Linked DNA regions of Daphnia pulex. The protein of the gene in region 2 interacts with the protein of the main gene of each other region in a pairwise test. Links are inferred from orthologs where the notes say so. Each region holds a gene or a part of one and is shown on either strand. Other genes may lie near its edges.

Region 1 (3,874 bases), on a different chromosome or scaffold from region 2:
AATGTTGACTATACTGATTGAATCAAAAACCCTTATCAGTGTAATTACATTAGTTACGCGTTAGGTTAGGGGCACTATGTTTGTAGTAAGGATCGCATACGATTTTGACAGCTACTACAGCGCACGCTATATTTAGGCTTGAAGTGCCACTCACATTCTTCACTGCCTGACAGGCAATCGCTGACTCTCGAGTAGGTAATAGGAGCATGGTACCGAAAGAAGTTAGCGATCGATACAACTCCCAGACATGGAGGCCGAAAGTGTGTTGGTGTTTGGTTTCCTACGTATAAGAAGGACGACAAAGATAGAGTTATTGTATGAGTGGGTTTGAGTATGAAGGGGCCATAGACCCCCGAAAGAAAAGTATCGATCCGTCCAGTGAGACGTCAGCCGAAACAACCTTCACTCAAGTGTAAATGTACGTGAGGGTATTTTGTATGGTAAGACAGAATTATGGATGGACATCTCGCAGCCAAGGAGGAAAAAAGGAGTCGAAAGTTGCCATGTTAATTTACTTGGAATGCCCATATCAATTTATATTTCAGTCAATGAAGACGAGCGAGTAGGTGGTTATCCCGGTTTCCCCAGGAATAAAACATGTTCAAAACGCATTCCATCAGGGAAAGGAAGAGGAATAGGAAAGAAAAAAAAAATACAGCCCAGTTAAAGAAGATGTTGAAGGAGAGACTACAAAACAGCGACAATTAATCCCAAATGGACTGAAAGCTGTACACGACAATGGAACACACCAAGTTGCAAGGCGGACAAATTGTTGCTTTAATAAATCAGTAACGCAGTAGACACACAATTCAATTAAAAAGAAGATTTAAGAAAGACATTACGAACAAGCAAAATGAAAAAAAAAGGGAAAAAAGAAAACAAGAATTTAAATGAAATCAAATCCGAGAGTAGAGTAGAGGTGGGTAACGGAAGGAAACTAAATTTTCGTGTGTTTTTGGATGCCCCTGTCTCAACGGATATGAAGGGATGGAGTGTCTAGTAGAATTCTGTCGTTTAATCAATGATACAGCGTCACAGCAGGACCCCCTATTTGAGCGTTGGTGCGCCAAGAAACAGGGGAAGAGACGAACTATCCCTGGAGCTAATAAAACTTGATAAATAACTTGGATATGTTGGTGTAGAGGTAAACACAAAATATTACTTTTCAACAGCATTTGCTTTTCTTTGTCGGTTTTCTTCCTTTGCCGACAGTGATTGTGTCGTTCGCGTTGCTGGCCTGCTCCTTTTGTTCTTTTTTCGTGAGTAAAACTTGCTGGGTAATGGCATTAAACATTTCCTCCACATTCTTGTTGTCTTTGGCGCTCGTCTCGAAGAGTTGTATACCCATCTGGCTAGCAAACCTCTGAGCATCTTCAGTTAAGACCACTTTCCTGTCAGGCATATCATCTTTGTTGCCAACTAGATAGAAAAAAAAAAGAGTTAAAAGATTTATCATGTGTTGTTATAACTCTTATTTTACCTAATATTCGGTTGACAACATCACAATTCTGTTCTATTTCATGCAACCACCTTTTTACATTTGCAAAGGATTCTCCACTACTGACGTCATACACTACAATTACACCATGAGTTCCTCTGTAGTACCTGTAAGGGAAAATGTGATAAGTTTTAATGCATCTCAATAAACGAAACTGAATTGTATATATTACGTTGATGTAATGGTTCGAAACCTTTCCTGTAACAAGGGAAAAATAAGAAGATAATTGTAAGTACCATACATATTTAGTTTTTTCAACATGAACATACTTGTCCCGCAGTGTCCCAGATTTGTAATTTGACACGTTCACCATTGAGTAATATGGTCCTAATTTTAAAGTCCACACCTATTGTTGTAATATAGTTTCCAGAAAAGGTGTTGTCTGCAAAACGGAGCAATAGAGAGCTTTTGCCAACACCTAAAACAGCAAAGTAATGTGTTATAAGAATTTCTGTGCTTGGAATGCAATATGGGCTGTATTTACCACTGTCACCAATTATAAGCAATTTGAAGAGATGATCATAATCTCTGGCCATTTTTGATAAGGTAAAACCACAACACACTTATAGTTTTTCAACAAGGCCTGAGTTTAAGGTATTTAAGAAGACACCGGGAGAACCTTATTCAACATTTTTATCAAATAGCTTTTCTTTTAAGGGTGATGATCTGTATGAGCACAACGAGCGCCAAAGTTTCGCCGACCGGTCACACTGAATTACTTGCTCGCGTTGTGTACACAATCGAAAGTGTGTCACCAATTACTTGCGAGAAAATAAATCACTTGATGATGATCTTATCCGAAACAAAAAAAACCGTAACTCGTTACTTTTTCGTACTTGCACCAACGTTAATCGAACATGTACCCACCCCCTTTATCCGTTGTTACTCACTTCACACCAGCCGAAAAAATTGGTACAGGACTATTTCATGGAGAGACGTTGCCAAACCATCCAAAGAAAATTGTCACGCACAAAACCCCTCCCCTCCTTTCCTCTCTACACTTATTCACAGGTGATTAATATGAGCTGTACTACTTTTATTATCTTTGTAATCTGATTCTGATGTGATAGTTTGTTCAAATAAACTGGTCATGCTTGCTTACTACACTGTATGCATCAAATAACAAATTCTAAATGATCAAATAAAACACCGTGCAAGAAAGACTTTGTACTCCCTCTAATAGAGGAAAACTGAAAAGGTCTATAAAAAGGTCAAAGCGCGACCCTTGTTCCGTAATTGTTGGTTTAATACTATAAAATTATTTTAAAAAACGCGAAAAGTAAGCAAACACTTGAATTTGATCAATAAACACGTTGTAGCATCGAAGTTTGGATAAACGGAAAGTCGGAAACATATTAAAAACGGGAGCCGCGCAGGGGATCCGGATACAAGTAATTATTTTCACTAGTAAATATGGTATCAAGCTCTTTCAAAATTTTGTTTTATTGAAATTAAGGACACAAGTATTTTTGTTCTTAAGTAATTATGGACTGTTGTATTTAAAATTTTTAATAATTTGGGCTTTAAGTAATTCATGCAACGTGTATTTAGTCAAATACTCGCTAGTAATTATGGTCACCAGTAATTAAAATTATGTTCACAAATAATAGGTTCTATTAGTACAATTGTTCGTAAGTCACTAGCAACGACTTAAGTAATTATATTCTTAAGTAATTGTTTTCTTAAGAAATTATTTTCTTAAGTAATTATTCTCACAAGTAACTATTTTCTTAAGTAATTATTATCTTATGTATTTACACGGTGTAAACACTTTTATTATTTTGTATTTAGAGAATTAAAGTGAAACGTCATTTATTGATTGCGTTATTGCGTAGGCTCAGGTTGCGTACAAACTTTTACGCGTTTGCAGTTTTAAGAACGCGCCTGGAAATTACATCAACAGTTTCGAGTTGTCTGCTTGTCACTTGTCAGTTTGTTTTTTTCCAAAAGTCAGACAAGAGTTAATTGCTGGTTAATTGAGGCTCAAAAGTCAAAATAGGCGTTGTTTGTGAAAAATATTTTGTCTTTGGTAACATATTTTCTTTCTTTATAAGTAAATGTAAGTTAACATTTGTGTAAAAATGTTTGTTTATTCTGTCTATTTATTAAGAATCAAATTGTTACACCAGTTAAAGGAAACAGGAGTTTATCATCAGAAGAGATTAAGCATTATCATTCATCAGTACTACAACCAGGTGGTATTGGATGTCAAATGAATTTTAGAATGCTTCCCTCCAGGTAGCAATAATATTTCTTTTATGTATATTTTCTATTCTTAAAATTTCGTTATCCGCCTAGGTATTAATGAAAATATTCAAGCAGACCTCAAAGTAAAAGTCACAGAGCTGATAATAAGAGTTCTGATAGCAAATGAAG
Region 2 (4,302 bases):
CTGAACAATCACAACAGCGGTCGTTTCCGGCCACTGCTAAAATGTCCGATAAAATTTTATCTCTACTACTTTCCCTGATTAAAAAAAAAATGATTAAATATTTATACCGCAATTGCAGCCATTTTTAAATACTTGGATGTGTTGGCGCTATCAGTGGTAGAGTGGCTAGAGTTTTGACTGTCTTTAGCATTGCTCCTAGGTGACTCGTTGCTGGCCAGACTCTGCCCCGAACTACTCCGACTGCTCAGCATCAATTGCATGGCCGCACCTATCTCATCTTGGATAGCTTGGATCCATACCTGGAACATCTCTTCGGAATCCGCTTGCAGAACGTGAGACCTGTGCAATGTCATCCGACATTTTGAATAATTAATCAAAGCTGCGAGGTGTCTTGACTGCAAATTTTACTTGGTGGGTGAAATGACTTCAAAGCAATTACGGCGATCAATGTCAACCAACGGTCGGACGGAGCAAAGTTTCAAGTCTTGCTCCATGATTGTGCCTTCTCGGTCACCTGATCAAAGGATATCTATTGATTAAGAGAATACCTGACACAAAAAAATAACGTTAGTGTTATTGCTTGGGTACCTGTCCTTTTCCGGTAAATCAATTGACTGGAGCAAATGGCGAACCACCGTCTATTCCACGTTTTGAATGGACTCGTCGTACGCTTAAACAGATATCCTTCCATACGGGTTCCGTTCAGCGTCTCGGATTTCAACATGGGTACTAAATCCTTTGATGTGACTACACTGTGCCGGTTTCCCAACTCTCTTTCTAGCGCGTTGGTCTCTTCTCGTAACTGCGTCACCTGTAATTAACACGCCAAAGCGTTGCAGGATCAAACCGGTTTTTAAGTACGTGTGGCAAGCGTTAGATCTCACTTCTGATCCAATGTTTTTCATGAACGGATCGGTATCTTGGAAAAGGTCCGATCCTTGGTGAAAGAATGTGCTCTGGGCGTGCATGTAGGAAAGTAACTATGGAACCAATCAACGTTTCAGCTCAGTGCTAATGTCAAAATGAATGCTTAAAAATATTCTTACTGGATCAAGAATTTCATGGCGTTTTTTCGACTGCACTAAACTGATAGTGTACAAATGGTCCAGCGCTGTGTAACGGAAGCAACTACGAGTGGCGATCAACACGTTTGACGTTTCGTCCACTCCACTTGTGGTCATTAAACCTGTTTGACAAATGGTTCGTATTACACTTCATAAACCTATGCCGCTTATTACTCGGTTCCAATAGTTTTTATCAGTAAAAGATAGCGAAAGATAAGGCTACATAGTCTGCATACCCTGGTGTGTGGAGGACAGCGTGCTGGCGGCTAGTACAGTATTCGCCGAGCCAGATGCGGTAACACCTTGGTTCTTGTTGGAATTCTTCGGAGCTTGAGCATGTCGAGCGAGCGCTGTGTCGAGATCGGCCGAGATCTTGTCAAAGTGTTGCCGACTGTCCTTGACTTGTTTCAAATCCCTACAGCAGAGAAATAAAGTGTTGCTTATGATTGCTTTTTATTTACTTTTCTGTTTACGCTGAAGAATAACTCACTTTTTTAGGAAATTATTAAGTGATCTAGAAACCGATCTGCTGGTTTGATCAATCAGAATTGAGTGATATTTGATGGTCTCTTGCAGTGAATTGGCAACTTTATTTAAAGCCTGGGAGACGGCTGGATCTCCTTTGAAATGCAAGCTCACTTGTAACATGCTCTGCACAAGATTACTAGGAAAAGAGAGTTATGGTAAAATCTATAGATTTGATAAAACTAATTCATTTGAAAATCAAATTACTTTTGGAAGCCCAAATAGGTTTTCCCTGCATCAATTGTTAAGTTGCAGTTTTTCAAAACCTGTGAACAATTCAGAATTATTATCAAATGAAATAAAATAGCTAATAACAAGAGGCTACTTGCTTTTTCAAGTTTAATTTCCAGATCATCTAAATTTGCATGATTTTCTTCCAGAGCATCTCTAAAAATAGAAAAATATAGTAGTGATACAGCTTTGTGACTTGTTTAAATATTAAAAACGTTATACCTAAACTTTGGGGAATCCCTCATACACTCTTCATAACTGTAGGATTCAGAAATGCATTCATTAATAAGTAAATTGTTCTACATGTATTAATAGTAATGATAATGACATACGAGATTATGGGTTTCATGTTGATTGAAAGACTGATGAAAGCTCAGATCTCGATGTGGTAAACTGCTATTCTGAGGGTGATGTGGGTTTAGTGATTATGATGATGAAACGTAACAACCTAGAAGTGAAAGCAATATTGAAAACTAAAACTAATCACAATACTAAATATTATAAGAGCAGCTTACCAAAATATTGACTTAAAAGCCAACAGTTTTTCTAACAGATTAAGTAAAAATACTACAGCATAGTTGGCATTACATGTGTGTTGTTTCCCTTGGTGATGTCAAGCTCGATGTTTAGGAATTGAAGAAAAGAACACAACAGTGGGCCATCATTGACAGAGTGAAACTGCAACCAAACAATATCACCGTTCTCCTCCTCCTTCCTACAGGATGACGTATATCCTCTTCTGTGAAATCTTGTGTCGCAATCCAATTCGTTGAGTTGGCACGTAAATAATCGCAGCCGTAGGCTTTTTTTTTTAAAGGCGAGTTCACACAAACAGGCTTGCACTCCCACTCACTAGCAATGGATGACAACTTTTCGACACACAGTATGTCAGTTGGCAAATCTCCTTTTTTTAATTTTTAACGAAAGGAAGGGGAAAAAACGAACGTCAAAACATTAAGGTACTGCTAAACGGCAACTCGACAGTGGCCAATCGACTTGCAGATTAGAAAACGAGTACAAACGGGTGCAGCAGCAGCTCTTCTTATATTCAAAATGGATATTACGTGTTTTGTGAAAGTAAACAAAATGTGGGACATTAACCTACAAACAGGCGTAAAGTAAAACGACTCAACACTGTTTGCAGTGTACAGATAGTACACGCGTAGAAACGACGGTTGAACAAATAATCCCCCTACTACTGTTTGCTGCAGGAGATTCAATATTAAATAGCTAATAGGATTTTACTCTTGACTGCACAAGGAAAATACTGAAAAAAACCCAGTAATTTATGTCCGTTTGTCTCGTCCCAATTCACCTGTGTGTCTTGCATCGTATAAACCGTGACGCATACCAAAGTACACAGACGTGTGCACAATATACGTAGTTTATGGCGCTCGGTGAAACTTATTTACCTGAATTGCGGTTGTTGTCTCAATGAATTATATTTTAAAAGTATTGAAATAAATGCGATTTAATGAGACGCAGCCATTTAAAACCATACAAAACTCGAATTAAAATTATTTGAAATGATATGACAAGAAATAAGCTCGGATGAGGACTTGCAGAGGCAAGTCCGCAGGACTCGGGAGATAAATAGGCGACACGGTTTTTTATCTGTATTGCCTTGATTGTCTATTATCGAAGATTCAACATGTCAAACGATCAATCAAACTCCAGCGACGAGTCGGCCAATGAAAATCTGAATCCCGTTTCCAACATGGAGGATAACGACGAACCGACTGCTCACGTAATAACCGACGATGAATCAGCTGAAATGGCAAATCCCACGTCCAGCCTTTCAACTGACGATCTACCTGACGATCTACCTGCTGTGAATGACCCGACGGTGAATGATGAACCTGCCATTCCCTCCGGAAGTTCCGGTCCCCAACACCAACCGATGAATTACGACCACGGTGAATGCGCCATTTGCATGAGTCCCCAAACGGACAAATCACGACTCGATTGCGGCCACGTCTTTTGTTTCGACTGTCTGGTCAGCTGGTGCCGCGTCAAGTTGGAGTGCCCGACATGCAGGCAACCGTTCAGCCAATTCGTTCACAACATCACTTCGGGATCGTCCCAGGGCGAAGTTTTCACACCCGTCCGTCCTCCCGCACCACCAAGACGGAGAATGGTATTTCGTGCTTTTTCGGTGTACGATGGAAGTCGTTGGGTCACCTTGAACGATGGAAATGGTGGGTTACCCTTGAACGATGAAGCCTTCCACCGATTCATGGTGGCAATGTTATTTCCTGGAATCAATCTGCTCAGTACCGATGATCAGCCCGACCCACCCAACGATCCTTCCAACGACTTGGACTAAACGTTTCGAATCATTTCCCTGACATTTTTACGAGACATTCAATTTCAATATCAATTCATTCGGAAATACAAAATAAAATCAAGTTCTCATTTGTCTTCTTATTTTTAAAACAAAACACATTGACACTAATTGAAACACATTTTGCGGGTATACATT

Evidence for each region.
Region 1: the proteins of arf-GAP with coiled-coil, ANK repeat and PH domain-containing protein 2-like (region 2) and ras-related protein Rab-35-like interact in a two-hybrid assay, tested with the Caenorhabditis elegans proteins (2 studies listed by BioGRID). The link is inferred for Daphnia pulex from reciprocal best matches to the Caenorhabditis elegans genes cnt-1 and rab-35.

The regions. Positions count from the first base shown.
Region 1 is NC_060021.1:11,607,439-11,611,312, forward strand, and holds ras-related protein Rab-35-like, read right to left. Parts: upstream 2,447-3,874; 5' UTR 2,366-2,446; exon of another isoform or gene 2,291-2,365; 5' UTR 2,035-2,290; coding exon 1,983-2,034; intron 1,917-1,982; coding exon 1,768-1,916; intron 1,697-1,767; coding exon 1,671-1,696; intron 1,606-1,670; coding exon 1,481-1,605; intron 1,420-1,480; coding exon 1,166-1,419; 3' UTR 1,163-1,165; intron 1,103-1,162; 3' UTR 507-1,102; downstream 1-506.
Region 2 is NC_060027.1:578,564-582,865, reverse strand, and holds the start of arf-GAP with coiled-coil, ANK repeat and PH domain-containing protein 2-like, read right to left. Parts: upstream 2,804-4,302; 5' UTR 2,336-2,803; intron 2,269-2,335; 5' UTR 2,170-2,268; coding exon 2,153-2,169; intron 2,079-2,152; coding exon 2,043-2,078; intron 1,977-2,042; coding exon 1,919-1,976; intron 1,856-1,918; coding exon 1,797-1,855; intron 1,729-1,796; coding exon 1,555-1,728; intron 1,480-1,554; coding exon 1,301-1,479; intron 1,187-1,300; coding exon 1,047-1,186; intron 981-1,046; coding exon 885-980; intron 812-884; coding exon 589-811; intron 515-588; coding exon 409-514; intron 340-408; coding exon 133-339; intron 75-132; coding exon 1-74. Other genes in the region: RING-H2 finger protein ATL64-like, read left to right, coding at 3,472-4,146. UniProt on the Caenorhabditis elegans protein: GTPase-activating protein for the ADP ribosylation factor family. Regulates endosome recycling downstream of rab-10 and upstream of arf-6.